Tribolium castaneum: one gene and its partners. The protein of the gene in region 3 binds, or shares a complex with, the protein of the main gene of each other region. Links are inferred from orthologs where the notes say so. Each region holds a gene or a part of one and is shown on either strand. Other genes may lie near its edges. The genes, in order: thoc6, thoc7 and Hpr1.

Region 1 (8,102 bases), on a different chromosome or scaffold from region 3:
GAGCTATAGCTCCGGAACTATCAGAGATAACCCTATAAAGTGTATTATCGTTGGAAAGCTCTTTGAATTATCTATTTTTTTCAAAAAAAATTATTGTTCTCCGACTAATAGTTTTTGAGCAAATTGCAGATAAATGCAAAAATTGGTAAAATTTTAAAAAATTCATAACTAAAAAACTATTGGGAATTTGGCAATTTTTTCGATGCCAATCGATTCCCCGGATCATTTTGCATGGGTGAGGATCAAAACAGTTCCACTTTTTGAAATAGTTTAGTCGTAATTGGGAAAATAAAAAAAATCAAAAAAAAGTTAACACCCCCCCCCTTCAAAATGGTCAATTTTTAAAGTGTCTCAAAATCAAATGAAACCTATTCTGTCTTATAGATTTTGATGTGCTCTTTACGATGGAACAAACCGTTTTCTTCTAGCTCTTTTAGTTTGGCCGTAATCGGCGTTTGAAAATTGAAAAATTTTTTGCGAGATATCGCCTTGAGTCCTATGCCATTTTGTAGAGTTTTTTATTCCGGTTGTCCTCGATTTTTCCGTTTCTCGATAACTCTAATAGTTTCGCCGTAATTGGCGGTTGAAAATTGTAAAAAAGTGAAAATGGAAACCTTTTTTTGCGTTTTTCTCGGAAACTGTAAGACTTAGAGCAACGAACAAAAAATCATCTGATAGCGCTTAATTTTCTCTATTTTTTCGATTAAACCCGGAGCCGCTCCGGGCAACGGTTCCGGCTACTGAGGCGATCAAAGTTTTTCACTAAAAAAATTTATAAAAAAAAAACTAAAAGTCGTAGGGCATTGCGGTTTGTTCTATTGAATTCTACGGCTTATTTTACATATTATATCAATTTTTCACACGAATTAAAAATTTAAAATTTTTTGCCTAAATTTAGGGTAGCCATTTGTCATAGTGGAAAATTTTATCCAACAAAAAAATTCATAACTCAAAAACTAAAAGTCGTAGAGTAATGCGGTTTGTTCCATTGAATTCAGCGGCTCATTTTCTGTGTTATACGAACTTTTCATGAGATTTAAAAATTTGATTTTTTTTTGCTAAAATTTCCTGAGTAATAACACTTACCTTCAAGAAAGTGAAAAAATTATTTTTTTTTAAATTCGTTCTATCATATTTTTCGTATTTATAAATGTCCTTACAACTCTCTAGAGTTGTTAAAAGTCCAAAAAAAGTCTATATGTTCGATTTTTTGATGTTTGATTTTTTCAATTTTCGTCGCAATTTTTGTCAATTTTGAGTACCCGGAACATTTGTTGAGCTATAGCTCCGGAACTATCAGAGATAACCCTATAAAGTGTATTATCGTTGGAAAGCTCTTTGAATTATCTATTTTTTTCAAAAAAAATTATTGTTCTCCGACTAATAGTTTTTGAGCAAATTGCAGATAAATGCAAAAATTGGTAAAATTTTAAAAAATTCATAACTAAAAAACTATTGGGAATTTGGCAATTTTTTCGATGCCAATCGATTCCCCGGATCATTTTGCATGGGTGAGGATCAAAACAGTTCCACTTTTTCAAATAGTTTAGTCGTAATTGGGAAAATAAAAAAAGTTAAAAAAAGTTAACACAATAAAAATAGTTAACACAATAATAAAAAAAGTCGTAGAGCAATGCGGTTTGTTCCAATGAATTCAGCGGCTCATTTTTCGTCTTATAATCACTTATTAGTATTAAGTATCAAAAATAAAAAAATAGTTCAAAATTCTTGAATTATTTGCTAAGGAATCAATAGTTAGTAGTTATAATCTAGCAGCCAAACAAACTTTTCTCTGTTTTGTCCGCTTGTTTCCCAGCCATCTCCGATAATTCCGAAAATGAATCGATTATCGTCGAAGTGTACACTTGCCTGGGGTCATTTCTGCGTTCCGTGGGCTATAATTCACAAGTCTGGTTAGAGGAGGAGTCCGGTCTGTAGTTACCGGTCCATAGCTCACATCCTCCTCCAGCGTGTGGTGTTTAGTTTGTCAGAGGGGCAATTAAACGCCTCGGAAACTCAGGTCAAGGGGTACAAAATCGTGGAAAACACCTGTTCAATATCCACCCACGAACGATAATTGTAGGGTCGTCGCAATCTCCTTATTAATCTCGATCGTGTGTGTGTGTTTTTTTTCCTATTCGGACAACCAAAGCTAATTGTGGGTAAATTTTAGGCCACGATTGAAAAACCGGCCAACATTCCGGTCGTCTTGGCCTTCCCCAGCATTCTCTACCAGACGAGAGTCGGAGGATACCAAGCCGAAATTGCCTTGCCTTTGGGGATGGTGGTTAATGCCGTTTTTAAAAACCAGCACTGGTTGTATGTGCAGACGCCGCATGCCGAGGAGGGGTATGTCAGCTATGCGGCCTGTTTACCACTAGGTAATAAACAGATTTTTTCCTAATTTTTTGACTCAAAAAAGAGCGAAATCGAGCAATTTTTAGTCAAAATCAAGTAACCTGTGTTTTTTTTTAAATCAAGTTGGCAAAGTTCAACTTATAGTGTGTCAAAGTCATAGACTGCTTAAATTAAAGGTTTCACTATAAAAACTGATATGATGAGTAAAATATGAGTATTTTTCTGAACATTTAATAGAATAATAATTTTTTTTTGTAAGTTAGGTAACTAATAATTTGGTAATTTGTGCAATAATGTTTCAATGAAAATGATTTGTTTGTAGCTTTAATTTTTGAAAATTTTGTTAAAATGGTAAAATCAAAAAAATTATATCAGGCATTATCCCACCCCCTGAGGACGACGCCACCGCCCCTTGCTGGGAGAACAGCACCGATGTGTTCCCTAAACCCTCCGGCAACATGACCGACACCGAAAAACTCAGCTCCAAGTCGGAATGTAGCGTCGAGACGCGCTGCCACAGCCGAAGACTGCGCCCCTCAAGCACCTGTGAAGAAAGAAGCGTCGATCGACTCTACCTCAGCGCTTTGGCATCCTCAAAACGTGGCAAAATCCAACGACAAACACTCCTAGTCATCAACAGTGACTACTTTGGCACCGAAAAAAATGCCCTTCAGGTGCAGAAAGGCGACGTTGTGGTACTCCAGGGTACCCATGTGCCGGGGTGGTTCTGGGTGCGCAACAAGGAGGGAGAGGAGGGGTTCATACCGGCGGTTATAGCCGGACACGGATTTTTGTAAATAAAAGTTGTACAAATTATTTATTAAAAATTTATTTCAAACAGTTTAAATTGTCTTTTAATACAGTCCTGCCAACTTAAATATGAAATTTGCGATTTCACACAATAATACGCCAATTTGAGCACTCAAACTTGGCCATACTGTAACTTAATTGTTCTTAAAAAAATAATAAGGGTTATAAACGATTTGGGGTCACATTCGAGCGATTTTTGACTCTTTAACGGTACCTTATCCTAACCTAAAGAGCATCAATGACAGCTGTCAAATTCAAATTCTGGACGAATTATTTATGGTTTATTATTTTACTAAAGACTTAATACAGAGATAGTTGCAAATTTTTGTAGATAAAGTTGCTACAAACGTCGATTTTGGGGCTCGACCCCGCAATGCACAAAGTCTGGAAGGGCTCATCCTGATGCACCGCACTGTACGTGGTCACAGGAGACGTCGGAATTTCCGTGATAATGTCCCCGTTAAAACTCATTTGGTAGAATAAATTAGAGCGCCCCCCTGCGAAAATCCTGTCTTGGTAGACCTCCGCCACATGAATCCCTTTATCGTCAATGGGGAACACTGTGGCGATATTCAGGGAGCGCAAGTGCCATAAAGACAGTCGGGGGCCGCCGCCGCACAACTAAAAAATCATTTAAGGGGGGCCACTTCGCCCAAAATTGCTGACATACCAGCCAATCATCGTTAATCCCAACGCCCCCTATCCAGGGCCCCAGCTCCACCCTGGCCACTTTATCCCTACTGTGGGGCTCGATTTTGCTCACTGGGGGGCCTCCTCTCACATCCCATAGCAGCACAAGCCCGTCTTCGCCCCCCGAAACCAGTTTATTGTTACTGAAATGCCATGTGACCAAAGTACAGGTTCCTGTAATCACTTACCAGAAATTGATGCAGTGAACGTAATTCTTGTGCCCTTTAAAACACCGCACTTCTTTTCGTGTCTCGATGTTGAAAACGTAAACATTATTATCGCCACAGGCGGCAAATAATAAATTATTTTCGGGCTCAAACACTAAACAATTAACGTCAGGTTTGTCGAAACTGTCTTTGGAGTTCGGGATTTCAATTGTCCACGAGCAGGAGGGTTTTTTGCTCGTTTTGACGTTCTTCCAGGAGTACCCCAAAATCTCGCCAACTGTCCCCACAACAAGGAACGCTTTCATGGTCAATAAACTGTTGATTTGGACGTCTTCTTTAATCGTGAATGCGTTTTTGGGCAGTTGGTCTTCTTTTGTGATCGAAGATCCTTGGTTTGTTAGCTTGGAAAGGCTGGAACTGGGGTTCAGGGGGCTGCTGGAAGTTACTTAATACTTACTGGAAGACCGAAATTGTGCCGTAAATGTCACCTACGACGAGATAGTTGCCACACGGGGTGAAAGTCTGGCTCAAAACAGTGTTATAGAACGATTTATTCAACTTGTTCACCATTTTGAGGTTAAGAAAAAATAACTTTTTGTGAATTAAACGCACGTTTAATAGGCAATATTACTGTACAAAGTCTGGTTTTATTACCAATTATACGATTACAAAGGGCGCAAACGTGTATTTAACATAAATACAGCCCCAAACATTAAACAATATAACCTCAATCGACTTAATACAGGCAACTTAACATGCAACGCGGTTAAGTTAGTTGCATACCTAACTTTATTTATGTTTTTTTTATGTCATAATTAAACATATTATACTATAAACTCTAAAACAAACGTAAAAAATATACCTTAAAACGTACACATATTTGTATAGATATAAAAAAAGAACGAGAAAACGCAGATTTAAGTGTTAAAAACGTTAAAAAAATCTCAGTTGAGCTAGTGGTGTTGTGATGAGCGTGCAACCAAGTAAGCAGCAGTTTGTTTAATCGTTTATTTTTCACTTTTTTACAAAACCAACGTCTAAAAATAGCCGCAAACATCTATAAGTTGTGTAATTTCACGCTTTACTTTGCTACCGCACATTTATAGCCAAACACTCGTTATAAAAAAAATATCAGCAAAAATAAACATACCGCTTGCGTATGGCATCCTTCGGAGTACATTTTTTAATCTGAACGGTTATTATTACAAGCGAGATCAATAAAATTACGTAAAGTAATAAACCCACCAAAAATAAAACTAATCTCCGTGTGCGTGCAATTGACGGTTTTTGCTTGAAGAGCACTAGACCCAAAAACAGGCCTGCGAGGCCCCCGATCATGTGGGCCCCCCACGATATCAAAGGCTCCTTTTTAAAATTGGCATGTAACACGTTGTAGATAATGTCGAAAATGACGATTATTCCGATACACGCAGATCTGTAGATTTTGTAATTCAAGGTTTCAAAGTTCTGAAAAAAATTACAAAAATGTTGTTTCTCGCTCGCTTTATACCTACTAGAAAAATATCGGAAATGTGCGAAATTAAAAGCGCATACACGCCCCCGGAGGCCCCAATGACCAAGTCGGGGTGAAAACAGGCCGCTCCCAAGACTCCGGTGATTCCCCCGGTCACGTACAAAACAAGAATCCGCACGCTTCCGTGTCGCGCTTCTAAAAAATAGGCGAAAAGCACTTGCATGAAAATATTGAGAGTCAGGTGGATCCAGTCTTCGTGCAAAAGCATGTAGGTGACGAATCGCCAAATTTCGGTCAGTTTGTGCGGTTCGAAGCGGAGCAGTTTTTGGGTTTTTTCATCCGAGGCAGCGTAGAAGATTATCTGGTGAATTACCATAAACATTAGCTAAAAATAATGCAAAAATCTGGTTTACCTCTAAAACACTGACTGACAAAATACCGAAAGGTGTGTTTCTTGCCCAAGCGGCCCATTGCGACGATTTCTTCACTTCTTGTGATAAGGGAAAGGGGATAAAAACTTGCTCGGTTTCGATTAAGGGGTCGATGGGGTCGGTTAATTTCACTTGGATTTTTTGCGACGGTGGCATAATTAAAATTTACCAAATTTGGGTCGAAAACTTAATTAATTAAAATTGTGTGTGATAATAAATTAGGTACTTACTGGAACATGTCCGAAAGTGGAGGGAAATAGGCCCGATTTTGTGTCGTACTATTTGAGCAATTATTATGCGGCATCTACTCCGCATACAGTTTGAATAAAACTGAACCAACTATAAATAGTTAAAGTTATAAAAACAAAAAACTTGCGTTTAAGAAGGTATTTCACTCTCGAGGAGAGTGAAAATAGTTAGACATGACTCCTCTGTAATTGATACACCTACTGACAATTTATTTAATGAAGTAATTGCACCGGTTTTAAGCGAAATGCCAGATAAAAGTGATAAAATCGATGAAACAAGATAAGAATGTTGTTAGTTTGGTTTAATTGTAAATATGCCCCAAAATATGTATGTATTTTTTTTATTTACATTTAAAGTTTAAACTTGCACGTATTTTCTACTCTTACATTTTTATGTTTACTTATCAAAGTAAGCGAAAAAATTCTTATTTTTGTATTTCCGTCAATGGTGACCTAAATATTAGGGTGGCCATGACGTTTTAAGAGCAATAAAATAAAAAAATAATAAAATAAAAAAGGCCAGTAGAATAAACACAAAACCATTTCTTTGATTTTTATTTTTAATAATTACATAAAACGTAAGTTGGTTGAATAGCCTCAAATTGCAGTGTATAAAAATTGTCTGATATTTCCTACAGTTTACCTACATTTTTTCACCTTATTATCCGCTCAAAACAATTAAAAAATTCGTTTAAATTTTTGGTAAAAAAATCCTACAAGACCAATATCACACACGTAATAATTAACCAAAATAATTAAAAACTAAATTAGATGTAATGAAATATCGGCAGAATATCTGAACGTGTTCCATGGCAAATAGAAATTTGTACTTGGCACCTGTCAAGGTGATTGCGGTTGTGAGAGTTAAATTAAATTGAATTAAATTAATACTACAATACGTGAACAAATACGTATTTTAGTCCAGTCACTAAGCCTTTAAATCAAAATACTTTAGCTACTTCCACTCAGCTTATCTCTGTTAATTTCAATAAAAAAAATAACAAACAAAAGAACATTTTTAGTAAAATTATGTAAATAAAAGTCTGTAAAACTAATTCTCGAGGTTGAAAAATATTCGTTGACTCCACGTTTTCGCAATTTTTTTCAAAAACTATTATTTTGATTTGAACCCTTTCTGCTGGACTTTCTTAGGTATAAAGTGAGTGAGATCTAGCATTTCAAAGGCCGACATTGCACCCCGGTCTCAGTGCACCTGCACTCCAAGCAAGGATTCGACAATTCGGAGATTATCCTTCCGACCCGATACATCCTTCCGTAAATATTACAGCCCGCCAGTTTCAAAATTCCGACGTTTGAAGTGCTGGAGTCGACCGTATTTGAGTCGAATTCGGTCGTCGAAAGTCGCTGTGTTGTTGTGGAAGTTGTTGTTGTACTCGTCGTTGTTGTAACTTCTTCCTCGGTTGAGAACAACAATTGCAAGACTTTGTCCAAACTGAACGGTTTTTCGGTGGTTGTTTTGCGCTTTAAAACGTCCACAATCAGCGATTGGAGGTTGGGGGCGGGCTCGGTTCGGATCACGTCCCGGAACGGGTCCGGAGTCACCGTTTCCGGCGAGTCCATGCGGTCCAGGACCACAGTCGGGAGCTCATTGTCTGGAAAAACGCAAAAAAAATCATTCCGTATTTTAAATATCCTGAAAACGCTAAAATCACTAACTTTTGCGTATTGTTAGGTTGGTAGCGCTCCCGCGCTTGTAATTTTCTCCGCCAACTGTCAAATCTTCTAGTTTTGTTAAATCCGAATTCAAAGCGTGATTTTGGTCAAAATTTTGAATTATTTTTGTGTAACGCCGTTTTTAAAGTGTTAATAATCGTTCCTTGTTTGCGTATTAGTGATTGGTGGTAGCAGATTTTGACTTTTTTTGGTAAGTGACTAACGCAAATATTCTCAATTGGGTGATTTG
Region 2 (7,409 bases), on a different chromosome or scaffold from region 3:
ACGTTTGGATAGTGTAACTCTTGCAGGAAATCATTTTACGATCATTAGGATTTTTTATTTTCAGCTTCAGAAGATATACAAATTATTTTAGGGTGAATTGGTGGTTCGTCATCGTTTATAAATATTAAAGAAAACGATGTTTCAAAGTACCTTTCATTTATTAGGCATACTATATGGTTTTACCAATGGTTTAGGTAGAATGCGTTACAAATCTGTGATTTTTAAGACATGGCTTAAGTTTTCTGAAAGGTATTTGCAACCTTTTAATCAGCAGATATTTGCAATACATTGTTTAGGCAAATGAAACTATTTTGCACACACGTATTTTCAAAACCTGCTATTGTTAATTTAATTTTAGTAAAATGTACAAAGAATGTCGTTTTTTTCAAATGAAATGGTTTAAAAAAGCTCGATCCAGCGTTCCTCTGCTGCGTTACTCTCTGCTGGAGTATCTCTGGACCGTCCGTTCCAAAGTCCCTGCCATAGATTATAGTTAATTATAGTCCCTGTCTAGACCTCTGCTCACTCTCACGCACCGCTCGTGAATCACCAAACTCCCGAAAAAAATCTACTACTTTATTAATTTTTTTGAGTTTTTGTATTTATTGTTGTATTTGTTTACAATTACATTGTAAGCTCTTTTTCACCTTCTCTTCTGCTAATTGTACTTGTTAAATTCAATTTTTTTGTCGGATTTAACCTCACAAATGCTATTTGTCAGATAAACGTCAGTGCGCTAAATAGGGCGCCATCTACGGTCTCGAAAAAACCGCTGAAGCTTATCGATGCGCCAGGCCTGAACAACGACGTTGTCTCCATACATCAAGGAGGCCATGAGAGAAAGACAAAGAAATCTTTACATTTGTGTTACTTATTTGGATACCCCTGATAGTTGTACCCCAAAATTTAAAAAATGCAAACATTATGCAACCAGTTGTACAAGCAAAAGTTTAGGTTGCCTAACTTGATAATTATTTAGATAATTGAGTAAAAGTTATTAATGAAGGAAAATAAAAAAAAACACAATTTTAACACTTTATTAAAAAACTGTAACAAAATAAATAACAATAAGTATGTAATATCTTGGTATATAAGTCGGTATATACAAAAATAATTTCGGAAAAATTACAGTTCTGTGGTATCTTCGCTTTCAATAAACCTCCTGTGGCAAACATGCGTTATATTAGTGTCTGGAATAATATATGGCCCATTCCTAAAAGCACCTCTTCCGAACTGAAACAATTATGAATTGCGTCCTCGACAACTTATAACCAGTCTTGGAGGCTTAATCTTATTTTGTTCATTTTCAAATAGTAGTAGGGGTCCACATACTCAGTATCCATTACTCGTTCGATTCTGATTTGCTTTTTTCGCGTTCCCCTGTATTCTCCAGTGCCCTCTCGTTTTGTTTTGCTTTACTCTTCCACTGCATCCAAGTGAACTGCAAAATTGGGTGCGCCCGTTTAAACAAAGCTTTAAATTTCTGCACAAAACATAAATTAAAATATACACCAGGCCCAAAAATTTTAAACTCACATCTACCGTGGTGTAACCATCCATTTTAGTGACTGTATAAATCCCATCCAGTACATTAACCATTTTGGGTCGTCAACCACCAAAAAATCAACCAAATGATCGGCAAATTGGGCCCCAACATAAATTCAAAGTCGGATTTTATTCTTTCAGTACCATAAAATGCGATAAGAGCAAACTCTTCAATGATGACCAAAATCAGGATACAATTCCCAAGTAAATAATGGCCCTGGAGTCTCCTAGATAATGTAAAAATTGCCCTTGAGAACTCACAACCTAAAACCAAGCCCATAAAACCTTAAACAAACAAAAATTTAAAACCAAAATGTTTATTAAAATCACAGAAACATTGACTTTAGACCTTTTGGGGTTCCAGTGATTCACTACGAATTTAATTTCTAAAATTTTGCAATCTTTGACAAGTTATATAGGCAACCAACTATACAGAAGTTTAAATAAAATAATTCTGCAATAATTTTAAACCAAAATGTGTATTAGCATTACAAGCATTCAAAGAAGTGAAAAAATGTAAAGATTTTCTTGCGTTTTCGTGATCCTGATACAAATTTTGGTTTTGGAATTATTTATTAAACTATGTAATACTAAAAAATTTACAGGTTACTGTAATCCGCTATTTTAAAAAGTATACATAAATGATGCACATTTCTTTATAGAATTCTGTAAAATTATACTTTAGTACCTGGAACCTAGATGTCACCATCTAACGCATACTAATATTAATATTGAAACTGCAATTTTACAGAAATCTTTTAACTTTACCGTGTCATCTCTGCATGTCATGGTCTCCTTGATGTATGGAGGTTGTTAAAGCTCCATACATCAAGGAGGCCATGGTTTGAAATTACTTTAAATCCAACCAATTCACTCATAACTACAAAAAACGCAGAAATGTTGAGCTTTTCACTCTTAACAGGCTAAGGAAAACTGACGACAAATTTCTACAAGAAATACAACAAAAAAATTAAGTCTCACGGATTTTTTTGTAGGATTTAATTCGCAGCGTGCAAATTGGTGAAAGTTTGATTTTTTTTTAATATAGTTTACGATAAAATTTTTGCATCATACTTATGGGAATGTAATTCTCTATCTGTTGTAGTTTGTTGTTTGCTATGTTTTAAATGTTATCCAAATGCACGACGACTAGGTGTAAAAAGACACGTTTTCGTTTCAACACTTCAATAAAATATAGAAACTTCATGTCAAAATATACAAACCAAACTAGATTTTATCTAATGACTTTAAACTAATTCTTCTGATCATCGTCGTTTTTGATCTTCTTTACTTCTTTAATGATTTCATCCAATTTGTACAAATCCTTTAATGATACTTCCCCACTTCCCCTCTCTAGTGGTTTAGGTTGTTTGGGATGGGGCTTCCACCCTAACATATTAATGATCTAAAAATGATTAACTACAAATTAGATAAATAAAATAATTTGGTACGCACTTGAAAAGTGGCAGGTATTGTGGTTTTCCCCGTCTCAGGATCAGTTTTACCGTAAAGTTGTTGGTAAATTGCTGCTGCAGCAAACTGAGTCTCTCGGTGCAAATGAAGCGACCTATTAATAGCAGCATTACTCTCTGCCATTCCTAAAAACTCACATTATAAAAACAATAATAATACACCGGGTGACTATAACAGTTTGTACAAAATACTATATTGGAAACACTGTGATAATAGTCACCCGGTATAATCACCCTAACCTTTAAGGTCCCACATTAATTCAAACAAAGTAGGATAATTCACAACAATTTCATCAGTGTCAATAGTGAGCATTGTGAAGCCAGCCCTTGTCAACAAATTGCCAATATCTCTAACTTCGGTAAATGGAGATATGTGAGGAGAAATGCCTCCACGACGCTCTAATTCAGCCAACTGGAGGGAAGATCTCAACTCATATAAAGTATCTCCTCCAAAAACCGCCGCAAGAAGAACACCATCCTCCTTAAGCGATTTTAAAATTTGCTTAAAAGCGTTCGGCAAATCGTTCACCCAATGCAAACTCAAACTTGATATAACCAGATCAAGGGAGTTTGGCTCAAACTGAATGTAATATATTTTAAACCAGTTACAGAGGATTATGGCTAGGAGACTAAACGAGATACAAACTTGCAGGATTTAAATCAAACCAACTCCCTAATAACTTGTAAAAAATGCAGGGTTAAACTTTACAATGGAACAACTGCCGCTCTCTGGCGACATTAACGGAACTATCAAGGAACTTATTACTTGTACTTCGTTTGATATCCTAACATTTAGAGATCCGTAGCTGAGACATTGAAATTAATAGGTTGGCAACATGAGTATGCTGACAAGGGCGTCATTGTCGCCAACTTATTAATTTTAAAGTCGGAGACTACTTTGATCAGGAAATTTCAATCACCTCAATGTGTTCCTCATCTAGTACTTGTTTCCTAACTTTAATACCCTCTTGTACTTGAACACTGTCTAAATTAAAGCGGTTCATATCACATAAGATTAGTTCTTCAATACATTTTGGTGAAATATGTTTGGACACGTAGCCCCTGCTGCAACCTAATTTAGGTTTAACCTTCCTCTTCCTGTATGAACTTAAACTCACCAATGTCTGCGGCCAGTTTAAACTTGCGTTTGATATCAAACACCCTGTCTGCTAGTCGATAGCCAATTTCATCTTTCAAATAATCATACAAATTGGCGTCTTGTGCGGAAGCCGCCCGTTCCCTTTGCAAACTCTTGGTGTTCCTATCAAACACATGCATAATGTGTTCGTCATTTTTCTGGTGAATTAAAGCACCGACCGAAAAGTGTCTCGCTTTTTTAAGATTCTTCAAAATGCGGAGTTTTGTCAAAGAGGATTTACGTGAACGGAAAACTATATTAACCAAAGACATGACACTGTTTAAATGAATTAAAAACAACTCATTTCAGCACAACAAATCATAATTGTCACAATGACAGTTTAGGATTTTGAGGTTAACCAAATGTCAAATGTATGTCAACTGTTGTGATTGAAGTTAGATTTAGCCCTCCGCCCCATTTTTCTGTTCCAAATTCTTACATGTATTTATTTTACTGTTGTGTGTTCGATGGATCTGAGCAGTTTTCAAGTGTTACAAGCCCCTCCGACTGTCTACTACATTCCAAATTTTGTAACACCTGAAGAGGAGGCCCACATTTTGAAAAATGTGTATTCAGTGCCCAAACCAAAGTGGACGTGTTTGTCCAAACGAAGACTGCAAGACTACGGGGGCGTGCCCCACGAGAAAGGCATGATTCCGGAAGCAATACCAAACTGGTTGACGAAATACATGGAAAAAGTCGCTCAATTGAACGTTTTTGAGGGAAACAAACCGAATCAAGTATTAATCAACGAATATCTTCCCGGCCAAGGCATAATGCCACACACTGATGGGCCACTGTTTTATCCCACTATTGCCACCATTTCGTGTGGCTCTCATACAGTATTAGAGTTTTTAGAAAATAACGAAAGTCGTGCTAAAGTTTGCCAATTACTTCTCGAAAGGTGTAGTCTAGTTGTAATTAAAGACGACATGTACGCTAAATACCTCCATTCCATTAGAGAAATTGAAACTGATGTTATTGATGAAGGCTGTGCAAATTTACTAAATTGTGAGAAACAATACGCCATTGGCGATAAAGTCAAAAGAGACACGAGAGTTTCTCTAACCATTAGAAATGTGACTAAGGTGCTTAAAATAAAACTATTCAAATAATTTTTGTACTTGCTTTTATTCGCCTAAAATAACATAGCTGATGACATGTAACCATGGTAACTGTCAGATTTTCTAACATAAATTAAGTAACCGTGGTAATTGTCACTTTTACCAACTTAAATTATTCAGACATGGGTTCAGGGCCTGTGCTGTCCGCCACATCCTCAAGTAGACTGTCGTTATGGCAATATTCGTTTGACTCCTCCAACATTGCTTGTAATTTGCTGGCGCTGGACACCAGCACGTGAAATTGTTTTCTCCTCATGTCCAGTTTCTGCTCCAGCAGCTCCTTTTCCTTGTGCAACTCTTTCAGTTCCGCTTGTAAGTTCGAAAGGCGTTCGTTTGTTTCCTTGCGTGCTGGCTGTTCGGCAATACTTTGTGCCAACAAATCGTACATCATGTGGTTTTGTTTCCATATTTTGGCTTGTACTAAGTTGTCTTTGTTTTGTTTGATTGAGTCTTTTACTTCGCTGATTTGCTGTTCAAATTTGTCGTAAATTTTTTTGTAGTTTTCAAGCTGACGCGATGTGGTTCTTGTGAGGAGTTGGGATCTCCTGACTGAGTATTCACAAAGGCTTAATTGTGCTAGTAGTTTGTCGTGGGTTGCTTGGTTCTCTAAGGGGGAGTCTTCGGTGGAATTTGCCCATTTTCGAAGAGTTTTTGCTATTACGTTGAGCCTGCGATCGTCGCCGGTTCCGTCACCGTCTATGAGTAACTTTCTTTTGATAATGTCCTCTAGAAGTTTTACTGTTTGGACACACTAGTAATTTTATAAGGGAAGTATTTACCATCCGACATGGTACCACGTTTGTCCTTTTGTTTCATTAAGGCGGATTTGTTTGCACTGTGGACGCCGAAAAATTTGTATTTTTTGAGGTTATGACACAAATTGTCAAATGTTGGCACTTGCCAACAGTTGCATCGAAAGTCTAAACCAAAAATTACTAGAAATAGCAATTAGAGGACATGTTGAGATAAGTGTTTTAATGGTTGCATATAACAAAAGCTTATAAAGCGTAAATCATTTAAAAATATGACTATAATTTATTTTATTAAATAATACGTATTTTGGTGATTTTGTCATCGGCTACGAATGTTTTCACTATTTTAAAACACGCTTTCCATAGCAACGTGTTTTAAATTTAAACAAAAACAAAAAATTTTGAATAATAATTTATGCAAAAACGCTTAAAGTTCTCAGGTGTCTAGGTGTCTCGCATACGCTCGTTGCATAACGACAGCCCTCGAACTTTAAGCTTCTAAAGTACCAACTTTAGTCCCGGAAATACAAAAAAGCAAATTTTTGTGTCGTTTTTTGCTCCTGTAAGCAATTTTTTGTGCATTTTTTTTGTCGCAACCTATTTGTTTTGAGTTGTTTTTGCTCCTGAAAGCTTTTTTTGTGCAATTTTTTGCTCCCGCAAGCTATTTTTTGGCCGTTTTTGTAAACACAATAATACCTCAAAAAATTCAACAAAAAATAAACTATGTATTAAAGATTTTTACATTTTAAGTGAATCTGCTCCAGTTTTTGCTACCACAAGTTATTTCTTGTGCTATTTTCTGTTTTCACAAAAAAGCAAAAAGTTTCTAATTTCAATTTTAATGATGTTTGTTATTTGGGTAATTTATTTATTATTATTTTGGATAGACATATTTCAAAATTTTTTATCGCTATTAGAGTATTTCATACGCGATGTGCATTTGACAAAAAACAGAAAGGTCTAGAAAGGTCATCACAATTTAAATTCAAAACAAAAAAATAAGATGAATTTTCGGTAAATCTTACAATAAACAGTCTAAATAGTTTTTACTTTTTAGACACGTAACTCGTAGTTTCATATTTAATTAAGCTTTAAAATATTGTTTTATTTATATTTTATCAATTATATCAAACTTGAAGCATTGCAAGATATTTAATATCTGGTTTCTATCGGTACAGGTACTAACGGAATGATCACCTGATGATTATATTTACTCTAGGTGATTTCACGTGTCTAATGAGAAAAAATTAATAAAGGGTAAAGTACACCAAAGTAAACATGACTGATAACGGTGTACTTTCCTTGTTTATTATTATTTTATTACTACTTGATTCATTATTTAAATCACATTTTTAATAAACGTGGATACTTTAGTTAT
Region 3 (8,910 bases):
AATCTTTATTTGCATGAAAATTACAACAAGCGACATAATTTTACGGCTGTAAAAAACAGTCAACAATGTTATATTTAAGGATTGCTCTAATTGGTCAAATTAGTCAATAACTAATTTGTCCGGCAAGAACCACGTGGAGGTTTAGAGCATTCTTGCCAGGAAAAATGGATATAAGGATGAGGTAAACAATGATTATTTCAAATGAAGGGAATAAAGGAATTATTGGTTTGTGAAATGAAAAAATAGTACACAAAAATCAAAGCTTTTTCACTTGGCGTTAAATAAATGCTCTTACCTTTATACTGCATCTGCTACCATTTGTAGCAAAACCTAAAAAATAAATTAAAAACACAACCAACAAAAAAATTAATTTGTAGGAAAGTTACAACAAGCGACTTTAATAAATATTATACAGAAAAAAGAATACACAATACGGTATAATATATGGCACACAAGCTATTAAATCAACACATCACAAGATAAAACGCAAAAAAATGCACCTACCTTCATATGGCTTCTGCGTTGGCTACTGTTTGTAGCAAGACATTTAAAAAATTAAAACAACACCAATAAAAATCTTTATTTGCATGAAAGTTACAACAAGCAACGTTTGTCAATATTAAACAAAATAAAAAATACACAATACGTTTGAAATTATTGGTTTGTGAAATAAATAAATACGACACAGCAATAAAATACACCTACCTTCATATCGCTTCCACGTTGGCTACCGTTTGTAGCATTAAAAAAAAATAATAATAAAAATGAAACCAAAAAAATGTTTATTTGCATTAAATTTTGAGCAAGCCACTTTCATTCATTGAAATTAAAGACAAAATTACGTGGCAATAAATTATTTGAGTGTTTTATTTTATTTATAGTTTCTGTATCTAAAATGCGTCACTCAAAATGTCACTTTCAACACCGCATTTAAAGATTTTAATTGCAATTAAGTTTTATGAAATTATTGGTTTGAGAAATAAATAAATACGACACAGCAATAAAATACACCTACCTTCATATCGCTTCCACGTTGGCTACCGTTTGTAGCATTAAAAAAAAAATAATAAAAATGAAACCAAAAAAATGTTTATTTGCATTAAATTTTGAGCAAGCCACTTTCATTCATTGAAATTAAAGACAAAATTACGTGGCAATAAATTATTTGAGTGTTTTATTTTATTTATAGTTTCTGTATCTAAAATGCGTCACTCAAAATGTCACTTTCAACACCGCATTTAAAGATTTTAATTGCAATTAAGTTTTATGAAATTATTGGTTTGAGAAATAAATAAATACGACACAGCAATAAAATACACCTACCTTCATATCGCTTCCACGTTGGCTACCGTTTGTAGCATTAAAAAAAATAATAATAAAAATGAAACCAAAAAAATGTTTATTTGCATTAAATTTTGAGCAAGCCACTTTCATTCATTGAAATTAAAGACAAAATTACGTGGCAATAAATTATTTGAGTGTTTTATTTTATTTATAGTTTCTGTATCTAAAATGCGTCACTCAAAATGTCACTTTCAACACCGCATTTAAAGATTTTAATTGCAATTAAGTTTTATGAAATTATTGGTTTGAGAAATAAATAAATACGACACAGCAATAAAATACACCTACCTTCATATCGCTTCCACGTTGGCTACCGTTTGTAGCATTAAAAAAAATAATAATAAAAATGAAACCAAAAAAATGTTTATTTGCATTAAATTTTGAGCAGCCACTTTCATTCATTGAAATTAAAGACAAAATTACGTGGCAATAAATTATTTGAGTGTTTTATTTTATTTATAGTTTCTGTATCTAAAATGCGTCACTCAAAATGTCACTTTCAACACCGCATTTAAAGATTTTAATTGCAATTAAGTTTTATGAAATTATTGGTTTGAGAAATAAATAAATACGACACAGCAATAAAATACACCTACCTTCATATCGCTTCCACGTTGGCTACCGTTTGTAGCATTAAAAAAAATAATAATAAAAATGAAACCAAAAAAATGTTTATTTGCATTAAATTTTGAGCAGCCACTTTCATTCATTGAAATTAAAGACAAAATTATTACGTGGCAATTAATTATTTGAGTGTTTTATTTTATTTAAAGTTACTGTATTTAAAATGTGTCACTCAAAATATCACTTTTCAACACCGCATTTAAAGATTTTAATTGCATTTAAGTTTTATGAAATTATTGGTTTGTGAAATAAATAAATACGACACAGCAATAAAATACACCTACCTTCATATCGCTTCCACGTTGGCTACCGTTTGTAGCATTAAAAAAAATAATAATAAAAATGAAACCAAAAAAATGTTTATTTGCATTAAATTTTGAGCAGCCACTTTCATTCATTGAAATTAAAGACAAAATTATTACGTGGCAATTAATTATTTGAGTGTTTTATTTTATTTATAGTTACTGTATTTAAAATGTGTCACTCAAAATATCACTTTTCAACACCGCATTTAAAGATTTTAATTGCATTTAAGTTTTATGAAATTATTGGTTTGTGAAATAAATAAATACGACACAGCAATAAAATACACCCACCTTCATATCGCTTCCACGTTGGCTACCGTTTGTAGCATTAAAAAAAATAATAATAAAAATGAAACCAAAAAAATGTTTATTTGCATTAAATTTTGAGCAGCCACTTTCATTCATTGAAATTAAAGACAAAATTATTACGTGGCAATTAATTATTTGAGTGTTTTATTTTATTTATAGTTACTGTATTTAAAATGTGTCACTCAAAATATCACTTTTCAACACCGCATTTAAAGATTTTAATTGCAATTAAGTTTTATGAAATTATTGGTTTGAGAAATAAATAAATACGACACAGCAATAAAATACACCTACCTTCATATCGCTTCCACGTTGGCTACCGTTTGTAGCATTAAAAAAAAATAATAATAATATTGAAACCAAAAAAATGTTTATTTGCATTAAATTTTGAGCAGCCACTTTCATTCATTGAAATTAAAGACAAAATTATTACGTGGCAATTAATTATTTGAGTGTTTTATTTTATTTATAGTTACTGTATTTAAAATGTGTCACTCAAAATATCACTTTTCAACACCGCATTTAAAGATTTTAATTGCAATTAAGTTTTATGAAATTATTGGTTTGAGAAATAAATAAATACGACACAGCAATAAAATACACCTACCTTCATATCGCTTCCACGTTGGCTACCGTTTGTAGCATTAAAAAAAAATAATAATAATATTGAAACCAAAAAAATGTTTATTTGCATTAAATTTTGAGCAAGCCACTTTCATTCATTGAAATTAAAGACAAAATTATTACGTGGCAATTAATTATTTGAGTGTTTGATTATAATTTTATTTACTGTATTTAAAATGTGTCACTCAAACGCGATCACTAGCCACCGAATTGAAAATTTAAACCGGAAAATTTAGATTTGCTTGAACACACGTCCGTTCGCGACAACGGCAAGTAACAAACTGAATAAATTGAACGAAACCGCACAATACACAATAATTTAAATAAACCGACTCACCTCGCTTCGCCTCGCCTCCCGCTCCCGCTCCCGATCTGACCCGTACCACTGCTCGCTGTCGACTGAACCGCCCTCGCCGCCTGCGCCGCACACCTAACCTCGGATGTGACGTCATCACACGTCTAAAACAGGTCATAACCAGAAACATTCACTGTCCAAATCCGTCAAATTTAGAAACATTCATACACAGAATTATTCAAAATAGAACAGTATTGATCTAGAAAAATTAATTATGACAAATGTATTTGTCTATAAACGTCTAAAATTATAAAAGTTTCGCATGCAGTTAATGGAAAAATAAAAATGCATGTTTATATTTAAACAGAAACTGGCAATGTGAAATTTTAGTGCGAAAATTAGTGGTAGAGCTCGGAAACTCTGTAAACGACCACGATAGGCGGAGCCAATGCGTACTTCATCGAGTGAGGAGATTGAGCAGTGGCGTAGCAAAAAACCATTCTATGATCAAGAAGGGTTTGAGATTCATAATTTGTAGTAGTTAAAATTTCCTCTATTCAATAATTGCAAGATGAAATAGTAAAAATCATATCTAATGCTAATACACGTTGATTTCCTAGAAATACAAAGCAGAGAGGTCGAATAAATAAAAATACACAATGAGTAAAGAGTAAAAACGCGTTTATTGCAAAAAATGTTTCTACTGGTATCTTTACTATAACTGGTAATATTGAAATGTTAAACTTTAAGACGAATTCCCTACACATGTAAGTACACGCCACGCCACTGTTTTCTGCCAACACCCCTAATTTAAAGATTGGACTCGTCCGAGACGAGTTTTCGTATCTGCGCACTCCTACCACCGTGGACGATCTGTCATTTCGCGGACTCTAACATTATTTTTGACCTTTGACAGTTGTTTACAAGACGATTCCGGTCGCTTATTCAAGTATTTCACACGAAATTGAGCGTTTTTCACGTTGGGGGCCCTCCAAGCGTTGCATTTAAGCAATGGGGGGCAAATTCGAGTCGTTACGGGTCGAATACCAGGTGGGCCCCGACATAACCTCAAACGCCACTTCTAACCCGGTTTTTAGGACGTTTTACGCAAATCTTTCAAGACCAAAACCACCGATTTGATCGAAACTAAAGCCAAACACTTGTCGAAGTCCGCCATCGACCTTAAGGCCCCTCTGGACCAGGCGTTCCGCGACGTCTTACTCGAACTCCTTGAAAAGGAAGTCAACGTCTCAGTCTTACGCGAGTTGGTCGATTTTAGCGTCCTAACATGTCGCAAGGAACTGAGCAACCCCACAATGCCAGTGATGCTCCTTTCGGACATTTTTGACGCCTTAACGCTGGACGCCTGTCAGGAAATGTTCCTCTACGTAGAGAACAATGTCGAAGTGTGGAAAGAGAACTTGTTTTTCAGTTGTTGCAAAAATAATTTACTCAGGTTGTGTAACGACTTATTGAGGCGGTTATCTCGGTCCACGGCGACCGTTTTTTGCGGCCGAATTCTCCTCTTTTTGGCCAAGTTTTTCCCGTTTTCTGAACGTTCAGGTTTGAATATTGTGAGCGAATTTAATTTGGAAAACACGACAGAGTATGGCACGGACTCGAGCCAGGAAAAGGGGGGCGACGTTGACGGCGACGAAAAGAAAAACGTGATCGATTTCACGTTTTATTGCAAGTTTTGGTCGCTCCAGGATTTTTTCCGGAACCCCAACCAGTTGTACACTAAAGTGCAATGGAAACTGTTTTGCACCGTAATTATTTTTGCGCATTTTAACCGATTTTTATTATTTTTTTTAGTACGCCACGAGTGTCTTTAACACGTTCCAAGGCCTCAAGCTTGAACACGTGGAAAATAACGGGAGCTATTGTGACGAAAGTAAAAATAAAATGTACTTTTCCAAGTACCTGACGAGCCAAAAATTGCTCGACTTGCAACTGTACGACGTCAATTTTCGGCGCGCCGTCCTGTTGCAGTTTTTAATTTTATTCCAGTACCTTTCATCATCCGTAAAATTTAAATCGTGAGTCGGTTTCTTTAAACTAGACGCACCTTTAATTTATTTTTTTAGCGAAAGTTTCGAGTTAAAGTCGGACCAAAAAGAGTGGATCCAATCAAGCACCGAAAAAGTCTACAGTTTGTTACGCGAGACTCCTCCAGACGGTAAACGATTTGCCGAAATCGCCTCAAATATTCTAAGTCGGGAGGAGTATTGGAACGCTTGGAAGAACGACGGTTGTCCCGAACTGAAAAAATCGGTGGTTCCCACGGAAAGCCCCGACAAGCGCCGAACCGAAGAGCGCCCTCTCTTAGGCGACATCATTAAACAGGCCTCCAGTGAGGGCAAATACTACATGGGAAGCACCGAACTGACCAAACTGTGGAACCTATGCCCCGATAACTTGGAGGCTTGTAAAGGCCGAGAGCGCGATTTTCTCCCCACACTTGAGGATTATTTCGCCGATGCCATCGCCCAAATCGAGTCACCTGGCGCAGTCAAAGACGAAGACAATTTACTGAAAGATGGGAATTACGGGTGGCGGGCTTTGAGACTCTTGGCTAAGCGCAGCCCCCACTTTTTCACCTACAGTACTGTGATTATGAACCCCCTGTCTTCGTATTTGGAGATGATGGTCAAGAAAATAGCGCATGATAAGCCAGGTCGCGTGACCGAAAATTCGCAAGAGTCGCAACAAAACGACGCCGAGGAAGAAAATTTGTTTAAGGACACGCAAGTTGATGAAAACACCGAAGACATCAAACCGTCCGAAACGGAGGAATTTATGGACGATAAGAACGCGCGAGTCGAGCATAAATTAAACCCGAACCAGTTGCAACTCTTCAGCGAGAAAGTGGCCCCCAATTGGAAAAAACTAGCCAGCAAGTTGGGCTTCAAAACTGACGAAATCCAGTTCTTCAGTATGGAAAATGAGAAAGAGGTGGACCAGGCCCGTAATATGCTACAACTGTGGTTCGATGACGACGAAGATGCCACTTTGGACAACTTCTTGTACATTTTGGAAGGGTTGGAGATGGAGGAGGCGGCGGAAATTGTCCGAAATGAAATCAATTCGATGGATTCCTAACTGTATTTAACTCGTTTCGCCCTATTTTTACTTTTCAATTTGCGTTTCATATGTAATTGTTTGTGATCAACCTTGGGACAGTCCCGTTTTTTGTGCCCCGGTTGTTTACAGTGGAAACAATCCTTTAATAAAATTATTAAACCTTGAATTGGGAGTTTGAGACTGACCTGAGTAAAGACCAAGTCGCCGCATTTGTGGTCCGGTTGGCAGCACCGACCACATTTTTCGCAGTGCTGCCAACTCGGTTTAACGCACCTTGCACACATGGGACAGTGGGTGTACGTCCGGCCGTCTTTCGAGGTGCATTTCTGGCAAATGGGGCAGTGTTTGTTTTCGTTTGAAACCCATTTGTTGCACTCTTGGCAAAATTTGTAGCCTTCATTCGCCGGAAGGACTATTTTACTACAATTTTTTGTCCCGAAAAGTTCGTAAAAATCGTCGGCTTACCTCGGGTCCACGTTCGTGAAAATTCGGACGGGTGACCCAAATTTCCGCGCCTTAGCGCCGTCTTGAAACAAAGGATGGTTGTCATAGTCGACTTTATAATCGAGCATGGAATAGTCGGGGAGGCTGTTTAGTATTTGCGGTTCCATAAAGTAGGGGAATACCCAAAATACCGACAATTTTGTTTTTTCATTCAGTTGATTGTATTTTTCGCTGATTTGTTTGATTGTGTGGGCTAAGGGCTCGACCCGACCCCCGAAAGGTGGGTCTAAAATCAGTACGAGATCGCTGAAAAAAATAATTAAAAAAAATAGACGTAGCGCTTTAATCACCTCTCAGTTTTTAAAAAATCCTCAAACACTTGTTGAGACTCGGGGAGAAAAAAATGGTTGTTGAAACTATTGTACCAACAAAATTGCAACGGGCCGTAAAAATTGTGATACCGCGAGTCGAAATCTAGTAAAAGTGTGTCCATATCAGGGCACTGATTTGTGATAAATTCGTGGATCCTGGGGGTCCCCAAACTAATAACTTTGCGGTAATTTAAACTTTTAAAAATGTCCACGATCACACGGACCGAAGTCAGTGAAAATAAAAACTGTGCCTCCTTCTTTGCGTCCTCCAAAGGGGGCAAAAACTCACTCGGATGTGCAATTTCATAATCACTAACTGTTGTAACAAAATTATGTTCGGTATGTTTGTCCCAGAATTTTTTCAATTGGAAGCCGGCACACGTATGGCAGTATGCCCTATCAGTTGGGGGTAATTGACGCATCTAAAAAACGCACTCAAACAGCCGAATCATTTTTTAAAATCTTACTTGGTTTAAAGTTATAAATAATTTTCTGTGGTCAATATTCCGAAGAAATTTTTCACGCTCGTTTTTCCACCCCTCAGATTTGTATTTATGTTTTTCGTCTTCGTACAGAAAAAAGGGGCACAGTTTGCGGTCCCTGCAGGCCGAACAGGCGAAAAAACGTCTCTTAACCCCATTACTAGTACGTGAAAAAAGGAGGGTGGGGCCGTGGGAGCACCAGGGGTGGCTTTGCAAGTCGTCAGTAATCACTTCCACGCCTGACATACCTTTAATTTGTTGTTATTTAAGAAATTACGAACTGATTGAATCTAACATAACCCTACTTCTTGGCACACGAGTGCCACTGCCAACCTCAAAAAAAAGAAAAATTTAAATTTGAAAAAAAAAATTAAAAAAATATCGATTGTTCCATTTATTTTAAAGTTCCGGAAAAAATAAATTACAAAACTAATTAAAGAAGACGTTTAGGAAGATAACTACAGTTTTTTCCAATCTTGTTGATTATTTAAACGGTTTTTCTGGCATTTATTTGGTTCAGATTAATTAAAAGTGAGTCTATGAAACTTCACTCTAATTGATTAATTTGTTATGTATCTGTAATATTCAAAAGTAGGTAAATTATTAGCTTACAGTGCATAAAAAAGTGCGATAATTGGGATAATTGCTTGTCTTTGAACGGCCTCCAAAAGTCGTTTTACCACCTTTTTGTTGAAGAAATTTGTTTTGCCTTCGAACCAAATAAATTATTTCTTGTTTTCGATAAATTTATTTATATAAACTGATGAACTTTAATACAATTTTTGGAAAATTTTAGAAATGTTAAAGCACCAAGCTGACAAAAGCAGTTTTCAGTGTTTAAATAATTAATAATACTACTTGAAAACCTTTTATTTGCTACACCTATAACAATCGATAAACGAAATTGGCTAATAATCGATATTTGTGACAAAACACTTGGTACAAGTGGATTTATCTAGTATTAAATATTTTTCGTTTATAAATAACTTTGTGGAGTGTTAGCCTATTTATTGTTACGTGAACATAAC

What was found.
Region 1: the proteins of Hpr1 (region 3) and thoc6 are in contact, whole or in part, in a cryo-EM structure (PDB 7APK), measured with the Homo sapiens proteins. The link is inferred for Tribolium castaneum from reciprocal best matches to the Homo sapiens genes THOC1 and THOC6. Residues at the interface, in NP_005122.2 of Homo sapiens: Ser227, Pro229, Ile230, Asp231, Tyr232, Leu234, Arg236, Val270, Ser273, Tyr274, Asp309, Leu312; in NP_001334633.1 of Homo sapiens: Leu57, Ser58, Ser59, Glu60, Pro312, Glu313, Lys315, Thr330, Asn331, Gly333, Tyr334, Ala336.
Region 2: the proteins of Hpr1 (region 3) and thoc7 are in contact, whole or in part, in a cryo-EM structure (PDB 7APK), measured with the Homo sapiens proteins. The link is inferred for Tribolium castaneum from reciprocal best matches to the Homo sapiens genes THOC1 and THOC7. Residues at the interface, in NP_005122.2 of Homo sapiens: Leu10, Arg14, Glu46, Gln53, Arg56, Glu60, Ile63, Ile64, Asp99, Asp102, Cys103, Leu104, Pro105, Arg146, Gln151; in NP_079351.2 of Homo sapiens: Tyr47, Gln51, Leu54, Ser55, Ser58, Gln59, Phe62, Gly65, Lys66, Leu69, Val70, Met73, Arg76, Glu77, Asn80, Ile84, Ile88.

What each region holds. Positions count from the first base shown.
Region 1 is NC_087395.1:25,798,738-25,806,839, reverse strand, and holds thoc6 (THO complex subunit 6), read right to left. Parts: upstream 4,777-8,102; 5' UTR 4,596-4,776; coding exon 4,483-4,595; intron 4,437-4,482; coding exon 4,047-4,436; intron 4,002-4,046; coding exon 3,839-4,001; intron 3,790-3,838; coding exon 3,469-3,789; 3' UTR 3,437-3,468; downstream 1-3,436. Other genes in the region: uncharacterized protein LOC103314375, read left to right, coding at 2,174-2,349, 2,734-3,155; protein rhomboid, read right to left, coding at 5,157-5,492, 5,540-5,860, 5,913-6,086; uncharacterized protein LOC662691, read right to left, coding at 7,349-7,791; DNA oxidative demethylase ALKBH2, read left to right, coding at 4,993-5,008. UniProt on the Homo sapiens protein: Component of the THO subcomplex of the TREX complex which is thought to couple mRNA transcription, processing and nuclear export, and which specifically associates with spliced mRNA and not with unspliced pre-mRNA.
Region 2 is NC_087397.1:9,556,814-9,564,222, reverse strand, and holds thoc7 (THO complex subunit 7 homolog), read right to left. Parts: upstream 6,217-7,409; 5' UTR 6,096-6,216; coding exon 6,059-6,095; intron 6,006-6,058; coding exon 5,392-6,005; 3' UTR 5,271-5,391; downstream 1-5,270. Other genes in the region: arginine-hydroxylase NDUFAF5, mitochondrial, read right to left, coding at 2,798-2,950, 3,001-3,143, 3,258-3,597, 3,938-4,089, 4,136-4,427; alpha-ketoglutarate-dependent dioxygenase alkB homolog 6, read left to right, coding at 4,623-5,270. UniProt on the Homo sapiens protein: Component of the THO subcomplex of the TREX complex which is thought to couple mRNA transcription, processing and nuclear export, and which specifically associates with spliced mRNA and not with unspliced pre-mRNA.
Region 3 is NC_087399.1:4,611,162-4,620,071, reverse strand, and holds Hpr1 (THO complex subunit 1), read left to right. Parts: upstream 1-4,410; 5' UTR 4,411-4,512; coding exon 4,513-4,551; intron 4,552-4,598; coding exon 4,599-5,270; intron 5,271-5,316; coding exon 5,317-5,540; intron 5,541-5,588; coding exon 5,589-6,603; coding exon of another isoform or gene 6,604-6,725; 3' UTR 6,726-6,751; downstream 6,752-8,910. Other genes in the region: rRNA N6-adenosine-methyltransferase ZCCHC4, read right to left, coding at 6,600-6,725, 6,771-7,005, 7,051-7,335, 7,380-7,822, 7,868-8,128. UniProt on the Homo sapiens protein: Component of the THO subcomplex of the TREX complex which is thought to couple mRNA transcription, processing and nuclear export, and which specifically associates with spliced mRNA and not with unspliced pre-mRNA.